Linked DNA regions of Notamacropus eugenii. The protein of the gene in region 1 purifies or fractionates together with the protein of each later gene. This does not show direct contact. Links are inferred from orthologs where the notes say so. Each region holds a gene or a part of one and is shown in the gene's direction. Other genes may lie near its edges.

Region 1 (7,821 bases):
CTGCAATGCCACTTGGGCCCCTTTGGGGAAGTTGTGACATTCAGCCAGCTAATAAATCCATCAAAATTCATACTGGGTTGTATGTGTGATATAGCTGTGGGTTGTCCAGGTTAGTCACTTACTCAGACCCACAATCATATCACTTGTGATCACCTTAAAAAAAAACAAAACCTAAGAGTGTGGAAGGAAGAATAGGCTTAGATAGGTAGTAATAGATTCATATTCTGGGCAGTCATATCACAGAGTCCTGGGCAAAGGAATGCACAAATGTCAGTACTGTAACTAGGGTAGGGGCAACTGGAGCTCTGTCCCAAAGGTACTAAAATTAAGATGACACAAAATAATTTAATTCACACACTCTTTCCAAAGACTAGGAGATTAGGAAAATGTGAATTTTGTGTAGGGATGAGGGTCCTGCAGAATTTTCTCTTTTGGGGACTTCTCTCCTTCCTCAACTCCCTCACCTTCCCCTTCCCCCACACACATTAGGTTTCCTTCAATACTGGCAGAGAAACAGGAAATCAATCAATCAATAAGCATTCATTAAGTGCCTACTATATGCCAGGCACTGTGTTAGATGCTGAAGATACAAAAGCAAAAGTGTAATAGTCCCTTTTATTAAAGAAGTTTGCATTCTAAAAGTGGGAATGGGATAGGGGACAACATGCAAATTTATAGGTATATTCAAATCTGGTAAGATGTAACCCTGTGGGAGAAGGCACTAAGAATTAGGATGACCAAGAATAGCTTTGTGCTGAAATTGAAGTGTGAGATAGGTCTTGAAGGAAACCAGGAATTTCAACAGACTGAGATGAGGAAGGAGTGCAATCCAGATAAAAACATGGAGAAGGGAGATGATATACCATGTATCTATAAGAAGGGCAGTTTGGCTAGGCTGTAGAGTATTGTGGAGAAAGAAATGACATTTGGCAGCTTATTGGATAAATGGGATAAGTGGGACCAGTCAAGGGCAACACCAAGGTTAATTAACTGATATAGTGGGAGGATGGATGATGGTGCCTTTGACAGAGACAGGGAAGTTCAGGAGACAGATGGGTTTAGGGAGAAATTAGTTCAGTTATGGACATGTTCAGTTTGAGATGACCAGAGGACGTCCATTATGAAATGGCCAACAGGCAGTTGGTGATGCAACATAAGACTGTAGTTCAGAAGAGAGAGTAGGATAGAGATGACAATTAAACCTTCTATGTAGTGTGTAACATTTTATAATGTTAAACTTTTTTGAAATGTTGGTTAGTTTTGCTGAATTTTTTCCTTTTTTTTTCTTCTTTATTATAGGGTATGGCTCTCAATAATCAGATGGTAAGGGTGTGAGGGACGGAGAGATACAGTGGGAAATGTAGATAACATAAAAACAAAAGATAGCAATAAAAATTTATCTAAAAACATTAGATCTGTGGGAGTAGATGAAGTCACCAAGTGAAAGAATATAGAGAAAAAGAAATTTACATAAGTTTATTATATTTAAAAAGTATAGCAAGTTGTACTAAATAGATCTGCAGTTTCATGTGCAAGATTTTTTATTATGTTACATTATAGAAATGCTTGGTTTATTCCATAGATTAGTTTTTTAAGAGTAGAAAAAAAGAAAATAGGGTCCAGGACAGTTATGTGGGTTATCTCCAGAGTTAGGGGGCATGACGTGAAACAGGCTCTAAAAGAGGCTACTGAAAAAGACCCTTTCAGGTCATGTAGGTAAGAGAACAACAAAAATGTCACAGAAACACGGAGAGGGGAGAATGTCCAGGAGGAAACGGTTGTCCTATAGAGTCAAATGCTACACAAAGGCACAAAGAGTAAGGATAGAGAAGCAGCTGTTGGATTTGGCAATTAAGATCCTTGGTAACTTTGGAATGAAGGATTTCTGTTGAATGATGAAGTAGGGAACTAATCAGGAAAGGTTTGACCAGCCTGTGAGAGAAGAGCAAATAGACAGTGTAGATAACTTTTTCAAAGAGTTTGGTTGTGGAAGGGAGGATATATAAAAAATGGTGATAGCTTAAGGGAATGGTAGGGTCTAGTGAGGGTTTTTCGAGAATGAGGATACTAGAGGAATATGAGCAGCAGGGAAGTAGCCAAGTGTTATTAAGATTAGAGAGAGGGAGGGGATGATAGTGGGGGCAATCTGCTGGAGAAGACAGGAGGGGATAGGGAAGACATGATGGCAAGGGGCAATGCAGACAAGTAGCCCCACGTTTATTCACAAGGTATGAAGCAAGATCTGCTGAGTTCTTAGAGGTGACTGCTGCTATCTTTCCAAGAGCTAAACTAATATAATCATTTATATCCATATTATTATTTATTGTCCTGTTAGTAGATCGTGTGCCTAGTAACTCTGATGTAAACCTAAGAGCCCAAGGCTTTTGTTATATGAAGAGATGAATGATTTCTAATGGGAAAAGAGGTGTAGGTAGAATGGAAAATATCACACTTTAGAAATTTTTCCTTTTGTTTTGCGGTGCTTTTGCTGAGGTTTAGTGAAGAAACAAACTCAAGTTTTAAAGTAAATCCTAGTTTGGCTATTATGCTCATACAGTCTTAATAACTGAAAACTATAACAGTGTACAGGACGATAATTTTAAAAGACAAGAATTCTGATAATGCAGGGACTAATCTTATTCCAGAAAATTGCTAATGAAGCATGTGTTCCACTTTCTGGTAGACAGATGATGGACTATATATATGTACTGTACAAAATAAGGCATTTTCAGGCAGGACCAATACCACTTTTATTGGCTATATTCATTTATTACAAAGGATAGCTTTTTGTGGGGGAGATAATGGGGGTATGTTGAGGCAAGAAGGAAAGAAGGAAAAAAGGACAGGAAGAAAGGAAGGAAGTTAGAAAGGAAGGAAGAAAAACTTCAAAAAAATATATAAAATACACAGAAAGAAATTCAAAAGAGGACCCAAACCACAAGGGCAGTTTTAATACTACCATTGCTAAAGTAGAGGTACACTTGAAAAATGACAAGCTTTACATGATAGATTCAGTGTCATATGCAATCGTTTTTTGTCATTTGTAAATGGAAATGATGGTATTTGATGGCTATCAAGTTCATAATGAAAATTTCATTTTAAAATAAAGGAGGCAAGATATTTCTGTATCATCTCGTTTCAACTAAAGTTAAGCAAGTGCACACAATTCCAGTCTTTCTCATCTTTATACAGAAAAGGTCAATAGATTGAGAGATGTGTGAATTCATTGGTATGGGAAGCCTCCCATCAATGGCAATTCTAAACTCTCAATAACTTACAACCTCAGAGAATTACCTCTGGTTCAAGGAGGGTAAGTAGCTTGCTCATAATCTCAGTTAATAAGTGCTATTAAGCACATCCTTTCCTAGGTACTTTTCTTCTATTTTAATTGGTCTTGATTAGCATTGGCTTCTAACACTCTGAATCAATGCCCATGTTAACCCACCCCAAGTCTCTTAGTCAAATAAATAGATTCAGGACAAAAGGTGTTGTCATTTCCAGGAATCATTTGTTAAATTTAAAGGTCATAGGTCACAAGACAGAGCTAGAGAGACCTTTGGAGACAAGCCCATGCGGTTCTTAATGTGTTTTGTGCACGGTCACCTTTGACAGCCTGGTGAAGACTAGGGATTCCTTCTCAGACAAATTCTTTTAAATGCGTAAAGAGCATTACAAAATAATTCTATCAAAATCTCAAGAAAAAAGGTCCCGGACCCCGGGTTAAGAAAGCTTGATCTTGCCCCTCCCCTTCCTCTTGGTGGTTCTTCTCCCCCAACCAAAATAAAACCCAAAACCAAACTAGTTGGCAAAGTGGATTGGGCTGGCAGTCAAGAAGGCGGTTAGAATGAAGTCTCCAACACTGCGTGATCTTGGGCAAGTCAGTTTCAATCGTAAAACGAGGATAACCCGTACCTTGCAATGGCCTCACTTTTGTCAATCGCTAAGCACCGAGTCAGGCACGTAGCTAGTGCTAAATGGATACTTATTTCCGTGCCGCCGCCCCCACCTCGATTTTACAGAAGAAGAGACAGAGACCTGGACACCTGTTAGCTGTGTGGCTGTAGAGAGGCAAGTTAACCTCCCTGAGCTTACATTCTGTGAAACTGTGAATTACTGACAGCTTGTAAGTACTATTTGATGGGCAGAGTTCACATACCAATTATTTAATCTATCCCTTATTTTTCAGATGATGGATATGGTCTAATAAAGCTACTACTCCAACCATTTCTAGATCACACAAGGCTGACCTGTCACGCTCACGGAAAAAGGACGTCTTCGAGGGTTGGGAAATGCTATGCAAAAAGGGAATAAAAGGGAATGGCGGGGGGCGGGGCGGAGGTGGGGGGCACGAATGCCCTAAAAGAGGAGGCAGGGTGCGTGAGACAAAAGTGATAGAGATATGGGCTCCACGTGGTACACTGCCGGTGACTCCCTATCAGGACCTGCAGCCCACTGGTAGGGAGACACAAGGTCAGAGTCCCTTAGAGCCCCCTCTCCCGGGCACAGGTCTCTGGGAACGCTAGAGCCTCAAGATCTAAACGGCACCAGCACTAGCCAGTCTCGAGAGCGCTGGTCCATCCGCCTCCGACCCCACCCCCCTTCAAGTCCAGCCTGGAAGACTAGGGGATCTCTTCGATTGACATCGCGACCAGCCAACGGCTTTTCAGGGTTATGAAAACTCTGTTTTCCCCTCCCCCAAGGAGGCGGAGAGAGACTCGGTGGAATGACATAGAGCACAGCCAATAGGAAGAAGGATCTTGGAAACGATGGGACTAACAGCCAATAGAAGCAAAGGGTCGTTCTAACCGACGTGGGAGACCGCCAACGGCTACTGCTGTTATAGGGTCGCGTGGTTTCCGCTCCTTGAGGGCGGGGGAGCGTCCCAAACGGAAGGTGGTTGTGGTCAGTGCCTCAGGTTTGAAACTGGGGGTCGGGCACCAGAGCCGTTGTCTGTAGCTGCGGGGCTCTCCCCCTCCCCCCCTCCACCGGTCCCTGCTGACCCCACCCTCCTCCCTCCCGTCCCACCTCCCGACCCCCATCCCTACCCCGCCCCCCACCCCAGACCTCCCCCTCGAGTCTCTCGGCTGGGTCCGGCCCGGCCTCTGTCCTCCGCTCCGGCTTTTCGGGTCCGGAGGGCGGCCCTGCTGCCGCCGCCATGTCCCTGCACGGAAAGCGGAAGGAGATCTACAAGTATGAGGCACCATGGACCGTCTACGCCATGAACTGGAGCGTGCGGCCCGACAAGCGCTTCCGCCTGGCGCTGGGCAGTTTTGTGGAGGAGTACAACAACAAGGTGGGGGCGGGGCCCGGCGGCGCGAGACCCCGGGGTTGGGGGAGGGGAGGGAACTGACCGGCGCTGGCCCCTCCCCTTGATCCTCGCTCCCCTGCGGGGATGAACCTGTTTCTGCCCCCCCCCCCCCCCCCCTTCCCTGGGCCTTCCCCGGGCGTCCCCTGGGGTAGATGACTGGGAAGTGGGCGGGGGGGGGGGTGGAGTGTTCGAGATTTAAAGACTAACTGTTTGGTTGTCTTCGCGACCCCTCTCTTCCCTGAGATTTCTTCTCCTTCTTAGTTTTCCTTTCCTTGCTTCCTCAGTTTCCCGCCTCTGTACTGAGTCCCCCACCTGCTGTAAACCGGGGGGGGGGGAGGTGTGTGTGTGATACTTGCAGTATCCCCTTATTTTGCGGTTCAAACAAGACTAAAATTGCTCGCTTTGTGTAAAGGCCTCTTATTCCCTCTCTGGCTTCCTCTGCTCTTGATGTCACTAGGGGCTCCCTCCTCAACCTCTTCCTAGAAGAGGAGCCTCAGGGAGGTGAACCTTTGTCGCCACAGACTCTTAATGAGTGCCATGCGAAGGGGCAGAGGGGCCGCTTGGCCCAGTGGGTAGAGGGACACTGGAAAAACGGTATTCCATTGCTGGCATACAGCCGTGTGGTCAAGGGCAGGTCGCCTAATCTTTCAGTGTCCCACATGGCTCGGAAAGGCGTTAGAGCATTAGAGCAGCATCTGCGGAGGGAGCTTCATGAGCTCGGGCAGGGGTCTGAACCTCTCCCTGCCCCAGCTGCTCGAAGGCTGGATGCCACAGTAGCGTCAGTGGAGGGAGTTTGTTTCGACAACAGTTCTCTGCCCCAGTGAAATCACAGGTCGAAGAAAAGTGCTGCTGTACACCGATAGTCGCTGGGCAAGAGACAGTTATCAGCCATACGCACGTGCACACAGTTAATTTAAAATTGCACTAAAACTTATTTTTTGATTTGTTTACCTTATTATTTTAGACTGCTTTTTCTCCATGCTTCCCTTTTTCTCTTGAAGGCAGCACTGTGAATCTAGTCACACCACGTTTGTAACTTAACCTCTGAGGCAGACTTGGTTTCTCCCATCCAGCCGCCTTTGTGGATTTCATCTCCACATCATCACTTTCATTTTTCTCATTTCCACTCATAAGGCTGCCAGCCTAGTTCAGACCCTGATCACCTCTTGCCTGGGCTAGTGTAATAGAATTCTGATTGTTCTCCCTGCTTCCAGTCTTTCCTCCAGTCCTTCTTCCAGACAACTGCCAACATCACCTTCCCAAAGCACTGCCTTCGTTAAAACCTTCAGTGAATCCTCAGTTGTTGTGGCTCAGGTAGAAGAGGCCTTCCCTCAGCCTGGCATTCGGGTTCTTCACAGTGTGGCTCTAATAGAGGTTGTTTCCAGCCTTATTTCAGACTCCTTTCCCTTCGTGAAATTTGGTCAGTGTACATGTTGAATCCCTTCCATAGAAAGTAAGCTTCATGAGAGCAGGGATTGATTGTTTTGTTTGGACTTTGTGTCTTTTGTGCCTGTTTGACTCTTAGTGTTTGTGTAATGGAAATCACAAAACACAGAGTCAATGTGATATTAGCCGTCGTTGGTAAGACATTCATCTCTTACTCTTGTTGATTCCATTGGTTTCTATTCTATGGCTATTGCACAAGTAGTCTTTTTCACTTTAGTGCTACTTAATGAATTCCCTTCCAGTTCAACTGGCAGAAGCAGAATTCAGTATTTCTATTCTATGAAGATATTCAAGACTCTTCACTTGTGAAACTTCTAGCTAATTACCCACACCCCTTTTGGGGGGATTTAAAATTATTGAATGTTAGCCTATGAAGAAACTTTAAATAATTTAATATAATCCCTTATTTAACAGATGGAGAAACTGAGGCCTTGTGGTAGAACCAGAATCTTCAGCCCCAAACTAGCTATTATTTGCTGATTAAAGTTACTCTTCCTTTTGCCTTAGGCTTTATACCTTAACAGTCTGTGATTGTGCTCACTTTTTGAAGAGGACTATGACATCAGAGAAATGATGACATGACATGCATTTGATTTTGTTTTGAATGAGGGAGGGCTGTGCAAGGTCACCAGCCTCGCTTTCCCCTCCTGTGCCATCTGTATCCAGTGATCAGATATTCTTTAGGATGAATGGAGACAGTTCAGAATGCAGTGGGAGACCTTGGCCTCATAGGCTGAGGTCTTTTCAGGTACTCACTTAGAGTGAGGTGGTGCTCTTTCAGTGAATAGGCCTCTTTTAAGAAGTAGTTGGGATGTGGCCACTTTAAATAAAAAAGAAAAATTAAATAAATCAGGACCCACAGGGTTGTTGTTTCAAAGAGTAACAGTTACTATTGACATTCACTCTAAGGCAGGAGGGTCCAGAAAACAGCCATTGAATGGAGCTTGGGCAGGGACCCGTTGTTGTTCAGTGTTCAGAGTGCCCTGGGTTTAAAGAAAGACAAGAAAGAAAAAAAGAGAGAGAGCGGAGAAAAAGAAAGACATCTAGCTAGTAAACCCCAAATTAAC
Region 2 (6,955 bases), about 260 Mb from region 1:
ACATGAAATTCATAAAGATAAAAGAAATTGGTATCAATTCAATTCCAAATGCATTTAAGCCTGCTTAGTTGGTGCTGTGCCAGGTGCTTAGAGCACAAAGATAAAAATAAACCAGTCCTTGCCCTTAATGCACTTCTATTCTACTGAGGGGAATTTGTATATGTAAGAAGATAGAACATATTTTGTCTGAGGATGAAGAAAAGTGCCGATAGAGAAAAATCAAAAAAGATCTCTCATAGGAGCTGGCACTTGAGATTGAAATGTTTCAGGTATGGGGAACTGCCTATGCAAAGGCATAGAGGCTGGAGATGTTACACATGAGGAGTATCAAACAGTTCACTTTGGCTGAGGGGGGTGAGAAGTAATGTGAAATCAGTCTAGAAAGAATGATGGGTTCAAGATAGATTGGAAAAGGCTTAAATGCCAAAAGAGTTTGTATTTTGCCCTGTAGACAATTAAAGAACTACTTAGTACAGTTCTTAGAACACAGTAGGCACTTAAAATGTTTATAAATTACTTAAGGTTCATTGGCCTCTCTGGTCCCACTTTCCCCTTCTGTGAAAATGAATGGGTTGAATGAGATCATCTCAAGTCTTTTCTAGCTCTAAATTTTATCACTCTACAACACATAGCCAAAACGGTGGAAGATAACTCAGTATGAGTTTACTGCTGCCCCTTCCCCATCCCAGTTCCAAATTCCACCCTCTCTCAAAACTGTCCTACTCCCCTCCAAAGCAGGAAAACATCACAAAACAAAACAAAAAAGATATGTTTATTTCTCAACTTTAAGCAAGGATGAATCAACCTTTGCAATCTCCCTCCAGCAAAGGCTAAAATCAAACTAAACAAAATCCAAGATTTCAAGTCTAGGAAGACCCAAGGGACTAAAATTCCAAGTTCAGGGTCAGATGTCAGCAGTAAGATCCTTGGGGGTAGGTAGTCACAGGTCTCCAAAGAGTCTATGATCAGAGATCATAGTTTATATAGTCAGGATCAGAGATCAAGGTTCATGTAAGTCCGTAGATTCCGTTCCCAAGCTCGACTCCTCTCCTCTCGATGTCTCTCTTCTCTCTTGCCCAAAGTGGCAGCTCGAGGTGCTCTTTTTTTTTCAGCCACAGCACGAAGGTCCCCAGCAGGAAAATGTGTGACTCGGGGTTGAGAAGTTGGCCTATATCCCAAACCTTCCTGGTCTCTCTTGAGGATTGTAGGAATGGGAGCAGTGCGCCCCTCTCCCCGGGGTCCCAGTCCCAATCCAGGCTCCCAACCCCCCTTCACTAACAATCGAAAGCCAGGGCTAGAGGCAGGGACTCCTGGAGGCAAGGGGGGTGGCTGAGGCCCATGGGACAGGGATAGGAGGTGAGCAGTAGAGCTGTTGTGATTAGTGTCTCGGTAATGGGAACTACAAGTCTCACAGTATTTTGGCAATGGAGAGCAGGGCCTGGAAAAAAAAAAAGGTAGAAAAGAGTGAAGGTGGGCGTCTTTTCAAGGTCCAGTTCAGTTGCTTCCTCTTCTATGAAGCCTGATACACAACTGCTCATGTTTCTTCCTCTAATTTTCCTAAAGCACTCTGGAGCTCTTTTGTGCCTTTTACTCAACCTAGTAAAACACTTATGCAAGAACTACAATAAACTTAAAGTTGGAAGGAGATTTAGAAGTTATCTAGTCCAACCCCACTCTCTAGTTAACAAATGAGGAACTGAGGCCCAGACAGACAGACTTCCCCCAGTCAGAGGTAGTAAGACAGAGCATCGTATCAGTCCCTGGTAGGCTGTAAGCTCTTCCAGGGAATCTGTGTAGTTTTGCATGTTCAACTTCCAGCATACACAGCGCCTTAGATTTTACTGGCATTGAATAAGTCTTCAAAGACTGTATTACTTTACTGGACAGGAGGCTCAAGGTTGGCTCAGCTCTGGAGTTGAAAAGGGTGACCACACCTTATTAATCCATACTCCTCGGGTATACTTTCTCACCAGTCCTTAGAAACCAGGGCCTTGCTACCATAGAGAACAATCTCAAGGATCCCCAGGTGGAAAGGAGGCTAGGTATTATTGGCCACCGACTCCTTAATGGGGTGGGGTAGGACAGTGTAATAGTGAAGATGACGATAGCTAACATTTGCAAAGTTGACCATGTGCCTGGCACTGTGCTCTAAATCCTTTACAGCTATTACCTCATCTGATCCTCCCAAGAACCTAGGTTAGCAGTAGATGGGGGAAGAGGCTGAGGAGCATCCTCAGATCTGACCCATGGGCTGTCACCTCCAAACTTAAAATCCTATTTGGTAAATAAAGTCCTTGGACAAGGGAGCCCTCGAGTCCCTTTCTAGGTTTCCTACACCGCACTCACCCCCACACCGAGATCCAGTGATAATGCCCACCTTGCCTTCCTCTCACAAGACAATCTTCCAGACCATGGGCTTTCTTTCTGGCCGTGCCCCAGGCCTGGAATGCTCTCCCTCCTCCTCTCCACTTCATGGCTTCAAGTCCCAGATAAAACCTCACTTTCTACAGGCTTTTATCCACCTCCCTTAATGCTAGCGCCTTATCTCTTTCTTATTAATTCCAGCATGAAGCTGTTTGCATGGCTTTCGCCCTTAGCCAGTAAGCTCCAGGCTCGCAGGGAAGGTCACCGAACTTTCTTGGTGACTCGGACCCTTCCCCGTCAGCTGCTAGACTGGGACGGTGGCAGGGGGCTGCCACTCACCGGCTTTGGGGCCTCTCCTCTCCACCGCTCTCTCGGACCATCCGGGCCACCTCGGGGAAGCCGGCCTCTTCGGCCAGCTGGGCAGCATCGCGCCCCCCGGGCTCACAGACGCCCACCCAGGCGGCTCCTCGCGCCAGGAGGTAGCGCACTGCCGGTCCCTGGCCCGCCCGGGCTGCACACATCAGCGGGGTCCACCAGAAAGCGTCCCGGGCGTTGACGTTGACATGGGCCCCGCGGGCCCCCGGGCCTCGGGGCTCCAACAGGGCGCGCAGCTGCCGCACGTCCCCGGCCTGCGCAGCCCGCAGGAGCCGCGCGGTCTGTCGCTCCCGGGTCCCATCGCTCTCGGCGCGGGCCGCAGCCGCTCCCGCCGCGGCCCCGGCCCTCTCCAGCCTAGTTTTCTGCGTCCGTTTTCTGCCTTTGGGGGGCGCCCGCGAGGGTGCCGGGGGCCCTCTGAGGGCGTCTCCCTCCACCCCGACCAGGGCTTCATAGAAGTTCCGGGCGGCTGCACCGTCCAGGGGGAGCTCCGACTCCGGCTGCTGCCGCCCGTCCTTCCAGTGGTCACTCGAGTCCCGGGCCGGGGTGAAGGCGATAAGGGCGGGGCGGGTCATGACTGCTGGGGTGGGGGAACATCAAGCCAGCCGCCCTCAGGAGCAGTTACCGGGCCAGCGTGGAGCGAACGCCAAGTGGGTCATCCTAAAGCTAACCCAGTAAAGGGCGGCAAAGCCCCCCACCGAGACTTGTAAGCGACCGGCAACCAGGAAGTAAGTTCAATGATTACAGGCCTCCTCTCTGGATCCCACCTCTAACTCCCTACGCTCGGTACTCGACTTCAAGTCCCAGTAGCAACCAGCGCCAGGCTGAGACACGGCGCCGGCGCAGAAAACACTCCGGAAGTAGATCACTGAGAAGAGAGTGCGCCTGCGTCAAACTACAGTCTCAGTCTGGAACCAAAGGAACACTTGAAGCGTGCCGCCTTGACAGCACCCGTAAAATAACCTGGCGAGATGGAGGACTGGAGGCCGGAGCGATGCGGAGGTGGTTAAAAAGAGGCAGATAGACACACAGACACATACACACACACGGGATTCTGCGCCCGCGTTCTGTTTATTTTGCTCCTTTTCTCCGCTCCTTAGCCGCCGGTTTGATTCGAATTGCTCGGTAGCTCGAGGCAGGCGCGTGCTCAGAGGCGCGAAGGCCCCCGTGGGGGAAGGGAGGGGCACCGGCCGTTAGGGTTCTTCGTTTGCATAACGCCCCACAATGTGCTTCGTTCCTCTCAGAGTGGCCCCCGAAGCCCATTTCCTGGGGCCAGAGACGGGGTTTCGGTGGAGTCAGCTGCCCAAGGAAGGTGGGCACAGGCCTGCAGGGTGCAGCCAAGTCTAAACGCGAATTAGGGCCAGGCTGCCTCTCACTCTTAGTGCAACCAGCATTTGAGGGCTAGACAAAGAGCCCTGTGCTGCTGCAGGCCAGCCTAGCCCCTAGGAGTGGAGGAGGAGATGGAGAAGGGCAAGGGGACAACTAACAGGATGGCTGGTGCCACCTCAGGTTAGCGGCCCCCTCCCATGACAAGCCCTTTACCCCGGAGGCTGGGGTTAAACCCTTTCACTCCCTAGTACCACCCCACCTCCATTCTCTGGAGAGAAGGGGCAAAAAAGAAACCTGGTCATCCAGTGCTCTGGAGGAGGGTGGACATGAGGACCTGTTTGGTAGAGCTGGCGCAGGGGCTAACTTGGTATGGGGTGATTTGTGGAGAGGTGGGAATAGAGATAGATGGTAAGGGTTAATTGGCAACTTGGAGGAAGAAATAAAAGATAGGGGTAATGAAGGTTGGATAAAGGGAGAGAGGAAGATGAACTATGATGAAGGAAGATGGGATGAAGGAACGCCTTCATACTTTACTGAGAAAATAGAAGCTATCCTTCATGAACTGTTCTTACCTATTCTATAAACCAACCCTCTCAATTATCCCCCATTTTCTTCTTATAAGAAGGCACCCCTTCTCCTTGTCAGTCCTCTCTCAACTTGTACCCCTTCATCTTATCTCTTCCCAGAGCTTGCCCCTCTCTCCTCTTATCCACTGACTCCTTCCCTCTTATCTACAAACATGCTCAAGCCTTCCCCATCCTTGCCTAAACCCTCACTAGCACACCCTCAAACTATCATCCTACATGTATCCTTTTCACAGCCCAACTCCATACCTCTCCCACTACCACAACCAAAACGGGTTTCTCCAAGGTTATTAATAATTTCATTATAAATTATTAATTTTCTTTAAATTATAAATCAAATGGCCTTTTCTCATTCCTCATCTTTTCAGTTTTTGAAACTGTTCATCACCCCCTCTTCCTAAATACTTGCTCTCAACTTAGCTTTTATCACACTACACTCTCCTGGTTTTCAAGCCTGAAGGACCATTCCTCAGTCTCCCTTGCTGGAACATCATAGGTATTCAAACCACTAAGCATGGGTGTTCCCCCTGAGGCTCTGTCTTGGGTCCCCTTCTTTTCTTTCTTTACAGTATTTCTTTATATCAGTTCCCAAAGATTCAATTATCATCTGTATACAGATATCTCTCAAATCTACATATCTAGCCCTAATCTCTCTCCCAGATTTCAAGTTCCAGATCAGTTAGTTCCACAAACACTTGTTAAGCATCTACAGTGTACCAGGCACTGTACTAGGCATTTGGATACAAAGACAAAAACACTGATGAATAAAGTCTATTGACTGGCTGCTGGATATTTCCACCTGGATCTCCAACTCAGCGTATCCAAAATAGAACTCATTTCCCACCATGCAATCAGCACTCATCATGCCTAGCCAGGACTATTGTAATAGCCTCCAAGTTGCTCTTTCTGTTTCCAATGTGTTCCCTTTCCAATCTATCTTTAACATAGAAGCAAAAAAATCTTGCTAAAACACAGATCTGAACAAGGCACTCCCCTAATCAAGAAAGTTCTGTGGCTTACTTTTGCCTCTAAGATAAAAGACAAATTCTTCAATTTAGCTTTTAAAGTCACAATCTAGCTCCAGTTTAGTTCCCCAGATTTATTTCACACTACTCTCCTTCATCCACTCTTGTGTTATAGGCAAACTGACCTATTTACTTTTCTCTGAATTTGGCATTCCATCTCCTGCTTCTGTGATGTGCTGTGCCTTTAAAGATTAAGAATAAACTGAGAAGCATTATGATACATACTCTACCTGTGAGATATGTAGGGGAAAGACTTTCCAACCTCACTTAGGAAAATGTACAGGAAAAATGTGTCTCATCTCTGGAATGTACTCCATCACTTTCATATCTTAGAATTCTTTGAAGGTTCAACTCAGATGCCAACTCCTGCAGGAAGCCTTTCCTAATCCTCCTAGATTTCAGTTTTCTCTCAAATTATCTTGTATTTATGTATATGTACCTCATTGCGGGGTCGAAAAATACCCACATCAATGAGATTGCACAGATCAACTTGGAATACTGGAATACATGTATTCTCCAGTAGTGTTTTTCATAGTGTCTTTTGTAATCCCACACCCATCAGTGCTTTGAATATATAACAGGCGTTTATATAAAAGTTTGTTAAAGTACTGGATGATGAAAAATGATTGAGGAGAATGGGATGATGAAGGCTAGTTAGGGGGATGAGGATTGTGAGAAAAGGGGAGATGACTGGAAATAAGGGTGAGGGATGACAGATAGATGACTGGGGAAGTATGCAGTACATTTAGTATAAACTGAAGAGCTAGACCGTTATTGTAGATACCTTACCTGTGAGACGTATAGGAGAAAGACGGTCCAATTCCAATTTAATCCCAATCTTGTTCGGCTCGCTGATGTGTAGGAGAAAGACTCTCCAAACCTTACCTAGTCTGGGTGTTGCTCTCTGTGGGCACGAGGACTACATTTCCCATGTTCACCAGCGCTAACCTCGATCTCGGGCTCCTGTTTCCAGCATCTTAGAGGAGAGCCTCCAGTCCTTCCTCCTTTGTGGCCCCGCCCCCTGCCCTATTTCACTGAGAGGACAGGGGCAAGGGTGTCTTCCGGAAGTCGTATTATTAGCCCAGCCTTACTACTGTTCAGGGACTCCATATCCCGTCTTCCACGGGGGGAGCCTGACCTCCTGCGCCTGCGCTCTGTGTACTTTCCCGCCCTCCCGTTTCTCTTCCCCCTTCCCCTCCCCCCTACCCCCCCACCGCTTCGCCTGCCGCGGTCGGGTCCGCGGCCTTCGCTGCGCGGCTTTGCTGCTGCCGCCGCCGCCCC
Region 3 (6,864 bases), on another chromosome or scaffold:
TAAATCAGGCACTCCTGGAAATGATCCCAGTTACCAGACGTGACAGCCTATAAGAAGACGTTTCATAACCTCCCAATCCTTGTACCTATATGTTTTATAGCAGCGCGGTATATCTAGAATGTGGCAGTTAGACTTCTCTCTTCAGACCCTGTTTTCTTGTTTAGCTCATTAGGTCCCATGGGTTTACTTACTATCTCTCTTAGAGACATGTACTCTGCCCTAGACTTTCTTCTAAACTCCGTAGTATCAACTGTCTAATAGAGGTCTCTATTCAGATGTCTCATAGATATTTCAAATTCATCATATCCATTGCCCCACCCCAAACTTCTCTCTTTCCACTGAAGTCACCACCTTCTTGCAGTCACCCAGGTTGCCAACTTCAGGATCAGCCTCCACTCTTTATTCTCCCTCACCCTCATCCTCTATATTCAATCGGTTGCCAAATCTTTTTGGCTCTCCTTCCATGACTTAATTCATACTCGTTCTTTTCTCTCCACTCACATAATCATGACCTTACATCAAGCCCTCATAACTTCTTACCTGAATTACTGCAATAATTTCCTAATTAATCTCTCTGCTTCCAATCTCTCCCCCTTCTAATCCAATGAAAACATTACCTTCCTCTGCTTAAGATAGCTTTCTATTGCATCAAGGATAAAATGTAACCTTTAGGTTGGTATTGAAAGCCCTTCATAGTTGTCTACACTCTAGTCTTCCAGACCTACTTCATTCACATTATTCTGCATTCTGGTCAGGCTGGGCTACTTGTTGCTCCCTGAACTTGCCTTTCCATCTCCTACCTCATCCCTTTTGCCTTTGAGTCCTGGAATATACGCCCTCATCACCTTTATGTCTTGAAACCTTTAATTTACTTCATGGCTCAGCTCAGGTGCAATCTCCTACCTGGAGCTTCTACTCACCAAATAGGGTGATCTAGTGGGAAAAGTTCTGGGTTTAGAGAGAGGATCTAAGTTCAAATCCTGGCTCTTATCTTTTCTATCTATGTAAACTCACTTTTGTGCTTGTAAAATACCTCATTTGTAAAATAAGAGGTTGGAGACCTCTAAGGTCCCAGGTAGCTCTATATCTATGATCCTAAGTTTATCCTTTAGTAGAAAGTAAGCTCCTAGCAGACAGGGATTGTTCTCTCTTTTTATCTTCAAATTCCCCAGGGCTTATCCTAGTATCTTTAATAAATGGCCATTGAATTGAATTTCATTTAATACAAATAATTTTTATTGAATTGAATTTCATTTCATACAAATAATTTTTATAAGAGAAAGTCTCACAATCCTGTTGATCAACTATATTATAAAATCATATCATCCAATCCAACTAGGCCCTCACTGAAGTAAGGCAGTCCTTTTATTCCTCCCTAATGGAATCCCTACCTCATTCCCTATTTTAAAAAAAATTCAAATTTTCCCTTTCCTCTTCAAACCCCTCCTCACTTCTCTTCCTCTCCCCTTTCTCTTTTCTTACTTTAATGGAAAAATAATTGAGGCCATTCAAAGCGAGCTCTCTTCTTTCCTCCTTCTTTCCTTTTCCAAAATCCTTGACCTCATTTCCCCCAGACTCTAAGAGTCCAAGCCTTTCTTTGTCCAATCCCTATATATGTATATTTGATCCCAGCCCCTCCAGTTTTCTCCAGCAGATTGCAGATCTCTTAAAGCTTCCACAGCTTCCTCTTAGCTGATTTCCCTCCCTAATCCCTTCAAACATACCCTCAAGCTATCTTCTGTATCTCTTCTCACAATCTCAGGCAAAAAAAAAAAAAAAGTTGTCTCCATTTGCTGTCTCTGTTTCTTTACCTTTCACTCACTCTTTAACCATTTGCAATCTGGCTTTTGACCTCATTATTCAACTAAGACTGCTCTCCTAAAGTTATCAATGATCCCTTAATGGCTAAATCTCTTGGACTTTTTCAGTCTTTCTCAACCTGTCCATCGTATTTGACATTGCTGACCAACCATTCCTCTTGGATACTCTTTCCTCTCTGGATTTTTATGGCCTGGTTTCTTCTCAACTCCTTGGCTGGCTCATCATCCATATCATTCCCCGTATATGTTCCCTGAAGTTCTGCCCTGGACTTTCTATTCTTATCAGTCTACTCTCTCTTAGGAACATCATGAGCTCAAATGAGTATAACTAGCATCTCTGTGCAGATGACTCATGGATCTGTATATCCAGCCTCAGTCTTCCCCTCCAGAGCTTCAGTCCCATTATGAAACATTTTAAAACTCCAAAGACATCTTAAATTCCACATATCTAAAATTCACCTCATTATCTTTCCCTGTAAACTCTCCCTTCTTTCAAATTTCCCTTTCTATCAAAGGCACCACAAACCTCAGATTTATAGTCTCAGCATTATCCTCAACTTCTCACTCTACACATTCAAACAACTGCCAGATCTACCCTTTTCTGCCTTCACAATATCTCTTTAGCACTCTAATTCAGTCCCTCATCACCTCTCACTTAGATTATTGAAGCAGCCCCCTAATTGAAAGGGGGGAAAGAAAAAAGGGGGGAGAAAAAAGAAATTTACATGATAACTTTATTATATATTTAAAAGAAGTAGCAAATTGTGCATAATAGATTTGCAGTTTTGTGTGCAATCTTTCTTATTATACTATGTTATGTAAATGCTTGTTTTATTCCATAAATTTAAAAATTAATTAATTTTAAAAATTAGTCTCCTTGCCTCAAGTCTCCCCCCACTCCAATCCTCCAGACTGCTGGCAAAATAATTTTCCTTATGTGCAGATCTGACCACGTGACTCCTTTACCCAACCGTCAGTGACTTTTCTATTGCCTATAGGATCAAATTGAAACGCCTCTCTTTAACTTTTAAGCCCTATAAAACCTGGCATCAAACTATCTTTCCATTCTCGCTGGACATGACTCTCACTCCCACATTCTGAGATTTGGCCAAAGTGGCTATCTCCCTTCTCCATGCTTTTGTGCTAACTATGCATTAACCAAGCTTCTTTCCTGAACCCCTCAACCGACAGAGGTCTACCTCCCAGACCACCTTTTATTTAACTACTACATATGTTGTTGTTCAATTTTTATTCAGTCCTGTCAGACTCTTCATGACCCCATTTGAGGGATTTTCTTGGCAAAGATACTGGAGTGGTTTGCCATTTCCTTCTCCAGCTCATTTTGGGAACTGAGGCAAACAGGGTTAAATGACTTACCCAGGGTCACACAGCTAGGAAGTGTCTGAGGCTAAATTTGAACTGAGTCTTCCTGACTCCAGGCTCAGTACTCTACCACTTCACCACCTAGCTGCCCCTCTGTGTGTACATTTGTAAGCAGTATACTGATACTGGTATTTATAAATAGAAATATACCTATATTTCTATTTATGCTGTAAATTTTATACAGGGTATCCCAAAAGTCTTAATACAAATACATGTACTTATTGCATGTACTTATTGTCTTCCTCCTTTATAATGAAAGTTTATTTCAATTAGTGATTGTTTCATTCTTTTGTACTTGTATCCTTAGTACCTGGCACATAGCAAGTGTTTCATAAATACTTAACTGATTAATTGAAAAATATTTCATTCCCTCCCTATTGTCTTATATGTAGAACTAAGTGATCTTTATTAAAGACTCTTTAAATTCCTCCTAGCTCTAAAATTCTATGATTTCAGAAATATATCTTGATTGTTTAGGCTGAATCCATGTGAACTAAGTCCTACAGAAGGGTATATTTGGGGTTGGACTGGGACCCGTCACGAAATACTGTACATCCAAAGTGACAGTTGTGGGAGGAAATGGTGTGGGGGAAGGGGAAAGAGAGAGGAAAGAAAAAAAAGAAAAACAGCAAGTTACATGATAACTTTATTATATATTTAAAAGCAATGGCAAGTTGTAAATAACAGATTTGCAATTTCCTGTACAATCATCTCTTTTTTTTATTCTACTGTGTTATGGAAAAGCTTGTTTTATTTCTTAAGTTCAGAATTTTTTTTCTAATGAAGTGCCTGATGATGGCTGATGGAGCAGCAGTACTTGGGGTAAGCATGTGATAGAACCTTCCCTCCAGTGGCTGAAGGAAGGACCAAGAAAAGGTATCTCTGTGCCTGGAGTTTAGAGGGGTGGTCCTAAGAACTGTATCTTGACAATACTCCTCTCTGTTACATCTCTCTTCTCCAGTAACCCTAATTCAAAATACCCTGACCAAGCAACAAGCCCCGCCCCCCCCCTCCAAAAGAAAACTCTAAAACTAAAGCCTTGATTTGTAGAAATGATATATCAGGCTAGGAGATCCAGCCGGGTGTCAAAAACATAAAAACTAAAGCGAATGACTGTGGTGAATGCTGTCTGCACAATAGGAAAGCATTTCTCCATCTTAGTGATCTTACGGGTTCTCTGTGGTTATATATATATATACATATAGGATCGTAGTTCAAGGAGGAACCTCCAACTCTACATATGTGGTAGCTGGTTCCCAGAAGTTATCGGGGCCTAAGTGAAGTGATTTGTCCCTAGTCACATAAGTAGTGGATCAGAGAAGGATTTGAACGTAGGTCTTCTGACCCCACAGAGGGCTCTTTCCACACAGTTCCAAAATTTCCATATGCTTACTTCATATTTTAAAAAAGCACATGCATACGGACATACATAACGGGGGAAAGTGTTTACACACATACCTACATATATATAAACTCAAGTCTCTATAACTGTGGAAGGAAAGAGGAGAGTAGGAGAGGGTGCCCAGCCCCAGCTGGTGAGAAAGCTTTTCCCTGGGATTCGGGTCTCACCAGTGCTTGGAACTCCATAAGCAGCAGCCAACAGCCGCCAGGCGTGATAGTGAGGGAAAGAATTTTCTGCCTCTAGAGAGGACATGAAAGGAAACACGAAACACTTGAAATATCCGAGCAATAAATCAGCGCTCGCTTACAGAGCACCAGGCAGGCCAGGGCAAGGGAGAACGAGGGAGGCGAGCATTACCCACGGGTAGAAGCCTGAGCTGGGCAGGAGAGGTAATGCCGCGGCGATGACATCACCCCAGCGTGGGTCCTCTCCCTAACTTGCCTGCTTGGGACCTGACAGATCATTAGAGAGGACTTCAAGCTGACCGCTCCGCACCGCCGCCAGGGGCCAGGAGGTGCCTCCGAGTCCAGGGCGCAGCGCTCTCGCTCTCGCTCTCTTCCCTCCGCTGCCGAGCGAGCTAACACTCCCAGCTCGGCTCCGAACGAAGACGTGGACCAGCAACGCGCCCCCAGCGGAGGGCACCGCGGCCCCCTCTCCGGCTGACCCTGGGCGCTTTGGAGTCAGCATCCGAGAGAGGCTGGGGACCTGTTAGGGAGCCCCCCCCAACTTGGGGCGCAGCTGCCCCCCGGAACCTCTTTGGACCCGCATGACATTCCCGCTGCGGAAAGAGGGGAACGGGTGAGAACCCAGAGGCACGAAGCAAGCAGCAGCAGAAATCCGCTTTTCTCCTGACTCCTAGAGGCGCCCTGGTGCTTATAGAGACCCCCGAAGCAAGGGACGCCCAGCGGGGAGAGGGTAGGTGAAGGGCTGGGGAGTGGGGGGGAAGGGGGAGCCACCGCGGAATCCGGGAAGCTGAGGCGTCGGGGGAGACGGCGCGGGGCTCCTTTAAGGATCTCCCCTCCCACCCGGCGAGGCCGCCCCCCGCCTGCCCGCTCTCCCCGCCCCGGGGTCCCTGGGAGAGCAGCGATTGGGCGGGCGCGGCTCTCCCTTTGAAGTGTGGCTGCCGATCGCGGCTATTTGACGTGTGGCTAGGGGAAGGGGAAGGTTTTTGTGTTCTTCGCCCGGGCCAGCGGCGGCGGTGGCGGCGGCGGCGGCGGCGGCGGCGGCGGCGGCAGCGGAGGAGGGGAGGTGCAGGAGGAGCGGTTGGCCGCTGCACCCCGCTCGGCACTGCGGAGCGAGCCCGCCCGCCCCGGGAGCTCGCCTCCCCGGTGCTCCCCCTCCCCGCCCCCCCGTCCCCGCCCGTGGCGCTGCCTCCTCCAAATGAGCGATTCGCCCGCTGGATCTAACCCAAGGACACCGGAAAGCAGCAGCAGCGGCAGCGGCGGCGGCAGCAGTCAGAGCGGCGGCGGAGGGAAGAGACCAGCGGTCCCGGCGGCGGTGTCCCTCCTGCCTCCGGCGGACCCCCTGCGGCAGGCGAACCGACTCCCCATCAGGGTACTGAAGATGCTGAGCGCGCACACCGGCCACCTCTTGCACCCGGAATACCTGCAGCCGCTTTCCTCCACTCCAGTCAGCCCCATCGAGGTCAGTCTCTGCTCCGCGCACCGCCCCCCCCGCCCCCCCGCCACCCCTACTCCTCACGACCTATTCCTCCCAGGTCTTGCCTGAAACAGCCGCCTCATTCACCCAGCTCCTTATCCTTATGCCCTGGGACCTCGGAGCTCCGCTTAGCAGAACCGAGTCACTCTTGTGGACCGATGGTGGGGGTGAGGGTTCGGGCCAGTGATTGATACAGGAGCACGGCTCACACCTCGGGGCTTATCCCTCCCAGCAGCAGGTTTTCCTGCCCAGTTTCTTTGCTCCCTGTTTCTCTTTCACTCTCTCCCTGGCCAGAGCCGGGCCCAGATTCTGGGGTCCTAGAGGCGATCTTGTGATGGGCTCAGTTCCTCCCACCCCCACACCGCCCCACCTCTCACCCCTACTCCAAAGACGCTTAAGTGCTGTTCTGACCCCACTACCGCCGCCCTCCCTTTCCCCCTCCATAAACACCTCTCCGCCTTCAAGTCCCGTCTAGTCCACTCTGGGGGCTGCGTCCGAAACGCTAAAAATCCTCTCCACTCTGTTCTTGGGGCGCCCTCCCCTGGGGCGCTGCAGTGGGTGCACTAGCCGGCCTTGGCTGGGAATGCTATCCTCCACGCC
Region 4 (7,354 bases), on another chromosome or scaffold:
CGGGTCATGACTGTCTCTTTCCATAAATATGGCAATTACTTCTTCCCTGGCACAGGTAGAGATATTTGGCAGGGAAGGGTAGGGGGGTAGGAGGGGAGGATGGATTGAGGAAATGGTAGGTCAGGGATGATTAAGTACCTTTAGAAAGGGAACAGAACAGGTTGGATAGTTGTTGGGAGCACAGAGTCTATGTCTGAAGTAAAAAAATTCACATTTGTAGTTTTTTCCCAGCAAGTTACCCCCATCCATCTTTCCAGGTGATATGTATGAAGTTGGAGCAGAAAGTGGACGCTACTACTGTCTCAATGTGCCCCTGCGGGATGGCATCGATGACCAGAGTAAAGGACTACCTCTTTGCCTAATTTCATATTATTTTTCTTCACTGTCTACTGACTGTTTTCTTGTACCCTGTACCTGGGTGGCAGGTTCCCTGAACTTCCTTTCCTACTTTCCCTGTGTCCAAGTCCAGTCCTTCTCCTTGGGGTGCTAGCTGTCTACCTCTTACCACTTCAGGTTACAAGCATCTCTTCCAGCCTGTCATCAATCAAGTGGTGGATTTTTACCAACCAACATGCATTGTGTTACAGGTAGCAAGCAGTTTGAATGGCCCAATGTGGGGGTGGGGGGGTGGGGAGTGGGGCAAGTTGAATTGGGAGGGAGAGTTAGCCCTGGCCTCTGTGGAACTTGGCAGGGAGGTTGGCAGTTCTGAATTTGGGGGGAGAAGTATAGGGTAGATGATCACTTATGTGTCCCAGTCAGTTATCTCACCGCAGCTGCCTGGTATTTTGCTCTTTGCAGTGTGGAGCTGATTCCCTGGGTTGTGATCGGTTAGGCTGCTTCAACCTTAGCATCCGAGGTCATGGGTAAGACTCTTTTCTTTCCATACCATCCTGGACACCCTTCAGAAACATCTTGGGGTTTGGCAGAAGTGCCTTAAATTTATATACTTGTAGATATAGGGCCAGAGTCCTGGCCTTTTCTTGTGGAGACAAAAGAACTAAGAGGGGGATATACACAGAACCAATGGATCTGTGATCTCATTAATGCAGGAATTCCCTTCAGTGATAGAAATTGAAACTCATCTATGCCTGCTCATTGTGTGGGGCTCTTCTTCATGTACTTTCATAAATTCCTCATAGGGAGTCCATCCAGCAGTGTTAGGGGCTTTCCTCAAATTCTTCCATTGCCTGGTGGCCAGTGGAATACATGCTCTGTCCATTAACTATCCTTCACTCTTCTTATGTAGCCATGGGTTATAAGAAGAAAATGTCACAAACAACTTGGATTTTTGGTTTGATTGGAAGTGGTGGGGGCCCTTGGATGTTGAGAGATCTAAGGCAAAAGTGACTGTGAAGATGGAAAAGGGATGGATAATTCAGCTGTTGACATTTCCTGGTCCTCAACAGGGAGTGTGTTGAATATGTCAAGAGCTTTAACATCCCATTGCTGGTACTGGGTGGTGGTGGCTACACTGTTCGGAATGTTGCCCGATGCTGGTGAGTTCAGCCCCTCATCTATCTGTCCTCTCTCCTATGAGTATCCTGGGTTCATTGAGGGTTGCCTAGGTGGGCCCTAGAGCCTTCTCATTCAGTTCTTTCCTTCCCTTTGTTTCAGGACATATGAGACATCACTGTTGGTAGAAGAAGCTATCAGTGAAGAGCTACCATATAGTGGTGAGATACTCTTTCTACCCCACCCCATCTTTTACAAATATATTTCCTTGGGACCCTAGGATGACCTGGGGTGGGGATGGAAGAATAATTTGATATTTTTCAGTAGGCAGAGTTGAGTTCTTTTCTAGTATTGTTACTAACTCTTTTTTTCTGATACTGAATCACTGAATTGCAGGGGGACCAAAGTCCTGGCCCTTCTTCCTATAGAGTCTAAGTTAGATAGAAATGAGACCCAGGAACCCTGATTCCCAGCCAGTGCTGAACTTTTCTCACTCTTTGCCCTGCGGCTCTGATCTGTTTATCTTCCTCTCCCCAAACAAAGAATATTTTGAGTACTTTGCCCCAGACTTCACACTGCATCCAGATGTCAGCACACGAATTGAAAACCAGAATTCACGCCAGGTCAGTGGCCCAGAGAAATGGGAATGGCTGTTGCGGGGTGGGGGTGGAAGTGGGGACAAAGAAGTGAGTGTGTAGACTTGGGGTATGGTGGATTTACTTCCCATTGGCTTGATTGGGGAGTGATTGTTGGGGGTGGCACAGGATCAGAAGGGTTTGGCCTGAGGGTACAGGCCAAGGAACTGAGGGAAACAACCTAGGGAAGGAAATTCCAGGCCAGTCCTGGTAATGAAACCTAAGTTGCTAAGGTAGAAATCAGGATAGTCAAAGACTGTAAGAAAGAGTGCTCAACAGGTCTGTCCCTGACTAGAAAAGACTTTTGTGGAATTTGTACTTCTGAGTGAGGGTGGGAATAGTAACTTTGGGAATGGATGAGAAATAGCTTATGTCCCCTTATACCTTCCTTCTTGTTCTGGCTAGTACCTTGACCAGATCCGGCAGACGATCTTTGAGAATTTGAAGATGTTGAATCACGCACCCAGTGTCCAGATCCATGATGTGCCGTCTGATCTGCTCACCTATGACCGAACTGATGAAGCTGATGCTGAGGAAAGGGGCCCTGAGGAAAACTATACCAGGTATGGGGTAAGGAGAGAATAGCCATTGAGAGAGCCTTAAGAAAGACAATGGCAGGCTATTTTGCTGAGAATTGGAGTGCAGCAATAGCAGGGTGGCTTTTTTCTTTTCTCTTCTTCTTGGTATTAAGGAAGAGGAGAGAGGAATATTTGGGGAACCATGACATATATTTTGTGGGAAGTACAAAAGGCTACAATAGACTTGGTGGAAGGGCTCCAAGGAGAATATTGCTGGTGAAAAGCCAGAAGGTGGCTAGAGACAGAGGAGTTGGGAATCTAGGCATTGGAGCCTACTCCTATCACCTTTTGTTTGCTTCCTGTCCCTTTCCCTTTTTCTTCTGCTTTCTCTTCCCTGGCTAAGTGTTTAATAAATGCTTGTTGATTAATAGCACTGATCTCTCTCCCAACTTCCCAGGCCAGAGGCTCCCAATGAGTTCTATGATGGAGACCATGACAACGATAAGGAAAGTGATGTAGAGATTTGAAGCTTGGAGAGACTCTGCTCCACAGAATTACCTCCCACTTCAAGGCTGGGCAGGTGGCAAGGACAGTGACCTTCCCTCGAGTGACTTTTTCTATCCCTGGGCCTTTGCTTTCCACTCTGTGGGGAAGAGTCCAAAGACTGCTACTGGTCTCAGAACCTACTTACCCTTACTCCAGTCTTCTTCCTCTCAAGCCAGAGGTGGTAATTGTTGGACAGGTGGATGGGAGACAGTCCTAGCTCTGACTTGGGGCTACAAGGTCAGCTCCCCTAGACAGGTCAGAGAGGTCACATATCCCTGGGGGCCAGTCTCCTAGCTTGCCCCTGTTGTCAGACCCGTCTCCTCTTGACAAAGATATTTTCGGAACTGAGGGGTGGATGATACTAAAGGTACCTTTTTATTCCCAGCCATACTGTGCCCAGTCTGATGTACACTTTAATTTGGGAGTGGAAAGGGACCAGGGGAGGGTTGGCATTTGTTATCAGTCCCTTTTGATTGGGGAAGGAACGAGTGGAGAGGGGTTTTGTGTCCTGCCTTTTCATATTTTATGTCCATTTTACCATTGTTTTTATCCAATAAATTGAGTCAGTATTTTTCTTATCTACTGCCTTCTTCCTGTGAATTTGATATGTCTTTTAGGTGCATCTTATTGGGAATGTGGGGGTGGGAGGGGAGTTGAGGGTAGATGTCATTGTATCCAGGGGTGATAGATCTGGTGTTTGTTTTCTACTTTTTTTCACTGAATCCTTGGGCCTTTCCCAGGACTGCCATACTTCATTAGCTCAAGAGAGTGGGCCTGGGCTGTCTGAGGCTAACACCAATGATGCCGTTGGGGTTTCCCCGAGGTTGGGTTTGTGACAAGACGCAGGGAGCCTGCTCTGTGGATGGGTTAGCCTACCACCCGTCCGGGATGATCTTGCTAAAGGTGGGGTTGGGAAAGCACCATTAATATCCCCTGTTCCAAAGGCCTCACTCCCCTGGCAGAAGGCTGATTTCCCGTGTACTCCGTGACGTCTAGGTACGACAGCCACCCCAGTGCAGGGACGCGAAGAACCAGAGTCTGTGCTTCTGTCGGAGGCCCGGCAGATGGCGCTGTTCCTGGTTCTAGACCCCTCAACTCCCTCCCCACTAAATTGGGCGTAGTGGTTGAGCCCATCGGGCAGGTAGAGCGTTGAAACGATCGTCACCCCCCCAGGTCCACGCACTGTTGGTAGGCACCGCACGGAAGTGTGCAGGCTCGGAGCTCTGGGTCGGCTCTACTAGATATTCATGAGGCGCGCGCAACTCGGCATACTAATGAGCTCGGGGAAGGCGGGGGCCTGAGAGGCGCTGGGCGGCGGCGCGCGGGCGGTCGGCGAGGAGGCAGCGGGCGGCAGGCGGGCGCGCACCGAGCGGAGCGGAGCGGAGGGAGCAGGCGGCGGGGGGCAGCGTGTTAGCCTGAGACATGGAGCCTCCCGGAGGGGGCCTGGGGCCGGGCCGCGGCACCCGGGACAAGAAGAAGGGCCGGAGCCCGGAGGAGCCGCCCGCGGCCGGCGACGGCGGCAAATCCAAGAAATTCGTGAGTGTCCCACCCACCCACCCGTGGCTTCAGCCCCATCACGGTCCCCTCGGACCAACGGCCGGGGAGCCGCCCCCGCCCCCGCCGCCTGCCAACCTGCAGGGTGCCCTTCCCGCTGCCCGGCTCACCCCTTGCCACTGTCCCTCCCGGCCCCGGCTTCCCCAAGCCCTAACCACCCTCCTACCCCTCCGCTTACTCCTCAGCACCCTGCATCGGACTCGGTCCTGGGGGCCCTTCTAGCCCCCCTCCCTCAAACCGCCCGCCGTGCACACCTGGCCCCTCTCCTCGATTTGATCCCCCGCCACTGCCTCAGACCCCCCCGGCCCTCCCTCCGCTTCCCCTAATCCCTTCTCTGCCCTCCAGCCACCTTTATCCCTATCTCTCCAGACACATCAGACCTGGTTTTCCCTCTTTCTCTCTCCCCCTAAACCTGGTCCCCCTCCGCCACCTGGCCTCTCAGGTACCTTTCCTCCCGTCCTCCCAGCCCAGCCAGCCCTGGATCCTTTCAGCCGCTTCTCCGCACCCACCCTCACCTGGCTCCCCTTAATTCCTTCTGTGCACTTCCCCCCTCCCCCAGCCCCCGGACCCCTTGAGTTACTGCATACATGGTAATGAGTCCTTTTCCATCAGCCTTGTAACCTTCTCTCCCCCACCTTGGGAGCCTTCAGGTAGCCAACTTCCCAGCTCCTGTGTGTCTTCCTTTGCTGCCGTTGCTGTCGCTGTTTTTTCCCAATGTTCGCTTAACCTTCCTCCTTTCAGATCTTTTCTCCCATAACCCTTATTGAACTAGTTCCCTTTTGCTCACTCACCTTTTAGTTCTTACCTTCTATCAGTCACTCCTCAACTTCCTTCTTCTTTTTTTCTTTCTGTTAACATAAATGTTCCTTCTTCCTTGGCCCAACCCCCTTTCTCCAGGTACTTTCCTAGGTTCATTTTCTAAGTCTCTCTGGGTTTTCTGTTATTACCCCGCCCCCGCCCCCCTCCCCATTTCCTGATCTATGATTTAGTCTTTTCACTTGTTAACTTTCCATCCAATAAAATCTTTTAGGCTCTCAGTCTAGTGTCATTTGATAATGGCTCCCTCTCAGGAATGTTACCTGACATGTGACCTCTCAGAAATTTGTCCTTGCATTTAAAGAAATAAACTCCTGCCCAATTACACATGCCCTTCAGTCACATTATTACTCTGTCTTCCAATATTTTTTCCCTCTTAGTGTTTTTCCTTTGCCCTATCATTACTTCCTTGGGGGTGAACTCTTTGGCTTCTTGCCCTAGAGTAATAGTAACTCTCCCTTCACAAGTGGAGAGGAAAATAAAATTGCAAGTCCAAGAAGTTTTGTGAACAATGTGATTGTGTTTTATACATTTTCTATTATAACCATCATTGCAACCTCTCTCCTACCTCCTCATCCTCTTCAGTGCTGCTGATAGCCTTACTCTGTCTTTTTTGGCAACTCTCTTTCTGTGAGAAGTACTTCAACCCCACTCTGAAGAAAAAGTCATTTCCATGTAACCCCTTACTTAGCATGTTTTATTATGATGTCTATACCTTGGCCCCATACTAAATCCTCCTTTCTCTTGAGGCAGCGGTGGGGAACCTGCGGCCTTGAGGCTTTATGTAGCCTTCTAGTTCCTTGGGTTCAGCCTTTTGACTGAGTCCAAGTTTTACTGGACATATCCTCTTACTAAGGAGATTTGTTCAGTGAAGTTTGGATTCAGTCAAAGGACTGAACTTGACCCCTGTCCCAGGGGATATTTATTTTCTTAACAATTTGGAAATATACAGGACACGTTGTTCATAGCTCCTTAAAGAGAGCAAGTTGAGTACAAGATTTTAATAGCTCCTTACTAGTTGGCAACCATGTATTCACTTCAAGATGGTAATCCTCTTACAATCTTTCCTTCTCATTGAATAAATTGCTTATAGCTTTCTTTTTCCTTACCTTCTCTCTCTTAATTCCCCCAAACAATCAAAGTAATTTCCTCACAAACTTGGCAAGAAAGCTGATAAAATGATGAATTGGAAGGATATACTACTTTTTAACCAAGGGTGTTGAGAAATGCAGTACTACACAGGAATTACTTGTGTAGCTGGCATAATGGAAAGAGGAATAGATTTGGAGTGATTGGGTTTGAGTGCTAACTATTAATTGTTATTATAGGCAGGTCACCAAACCTCCCCTTGCCTCACTTTCCTCATCAGTAAAACAGGGCAATAATATGTTTACCGCTTAAGTGACAGATGTTTAGAGGAAAGCATTTGTGTAAAATGGTGGTGGTTGTTATAGGGGGCTGTAAAGTGGTGATCCTTCTCTTTCTGCCTATCTATGGTTAAACTAGACACCCCCTAGGCCTGTTAACAATTGATCTTTATAATTAGCCTCATTATTCCAGGCCACTAATTGCCTGTGTTTATGCTGGCTATTATTTCTTCACCCAGAGCATGTGGCTTAATAGTTGAAGAAAATTTCTTACTGGCTCAAAAAATATTCCCTGTTTGTTACTACAGTGTCACCTGAGTTTCTTTAGGTTAGGTGTTTAACCTCTCTTAGACTAGGTTAATCTTTCTTTCTGAGTCTAAAGTTCCTGGGCCCCTAATTTGGAATTTAGTTCAGTTTCTTCAAACCCTTTGTGTTACTTTGCATTGAGTTTGTCTTCCCTCTCCTG

The links.
Region 2: the proteins of DCAF7 (region 1) and CSNK2B purify together in Homo sapiens (affinity purification with mass spectrometry; 4 studies listed by BioGRID and IntAct, with this or other methods). This does not show direct contact. The link is inferred for Notamacropus eugenii from reciprocal best matches to the Homo sapiens genes DCAF7 and CSNK2B.
Region 3: the proteins of DCAF7 (region 1) and ZNF703 purify together in Homo sapiens (co-immunoprecipitation; 5 studies listed by BioGRID and IntAct, counting the BioPlex papers as one, with this or other methods). This does not show direct contact. The link is inferred for Notamacropus eugenii from reciprocal best matches to the Homo sapiens genes DCAF7 and ZNF703.
Region 4: the proteins of DCAF7 (region 1) and DIAPH1 purify together in Homo sapiens (affinity purification with mass spectrometry; 5 studies listed by BioGRID and IntAct, counting the BioPlex papers as one, with this or other methods). This does not show direct contact. The link is inferred for Notamacropus eugenii from reciprocal best matches to the Homo sapiens genes DCAF7 and DIAPH1.

Annotation. Positions count from the first base shown.
Region 1 is NC_092873.1:344,148,675-344,156,495, reverse strand, and holds the start of DCAF7 (DDB1- and CUL4-associated factor 7), read left to right. Parts: upstream 1-4,821; 5' UTR 4,822-5,155; coding exon 5,156-5,293; intron 5,294-7,821. UniProt on the Homo sapiens protein: Involved in craniofacial development. Acts upstream of the EDN1 pathway and is required for formation of the upper jaw equivalent, the palatoquadrate. The activity required for EDN1 pathway function differs between the first and second arches.
Region 2 is NC_092873.1:85,320,475-85,327,429, forward strand, and holds the start of CSNK2B (casein kinase II subunit beta), read left to right. Parts: upstream 1-3,919; 5' UTR 3,920-3,960; coding exon 3,961-4,048; intron 4,049-4,086; exon of another isoform or gene 4,087-4,196; coding exon of another isoform or gene 4,197-4,245; intron 4,246-6,677; exon of another isoform or gene 6,678-6,955. Other genes in the region: GPANK1 (G patch domain and ankyrin repeat-containing protein 1), read right to left, coding at 994-1,438, 2,704-3,311. UniProt on the Homo sapiens protein: Regulatory subunit of casein kinase II/CK2.
Region 3 is NC_092872.1:623,326,751-623,333,614, reverse strand, and holds the start of ZNF703 (zinc finger protein 703), read left to right. Parts: upstream 1-3,839; 5' UTR 3,840-5,985; coding exon 5,986-6,249; intron 6,250-6,864. UniProt on the Homo sapiens protein: Transcriptional corepressor which does not bind directly to DNA and may regulate transcription through recruitment of histone deacetylases to gene promoters. Regulates cell adhesion, migration and proliferation.
Region 4 is NC_092872.1:368,992,972-369,000,325, reverse strand, and holds the start of DIAPH1 (protein diaphanous homolog 1), read left to right. Parts: upstream 1-4,335; 5' UTR 4,336-4,573; coding exon 4,574-4,687; intron 4,688-7,354. Other genes in the region: HDAC3 (histone deacetylase 3), read left to right, coding at 1-55, 258-338, 514-587, 799-863, 1,407-1,496, 1,615-1,673, 1,996-2,075, 2,493-2,650 and 1 more. UniProt on the Homo sapiens protein: Actin nucleation and elongation factor required for the assembly of F-actin structures, such as actin cables and stress fibers. Binds to the barbed end of the actin filament and slows down actin polymerization and depolymerization.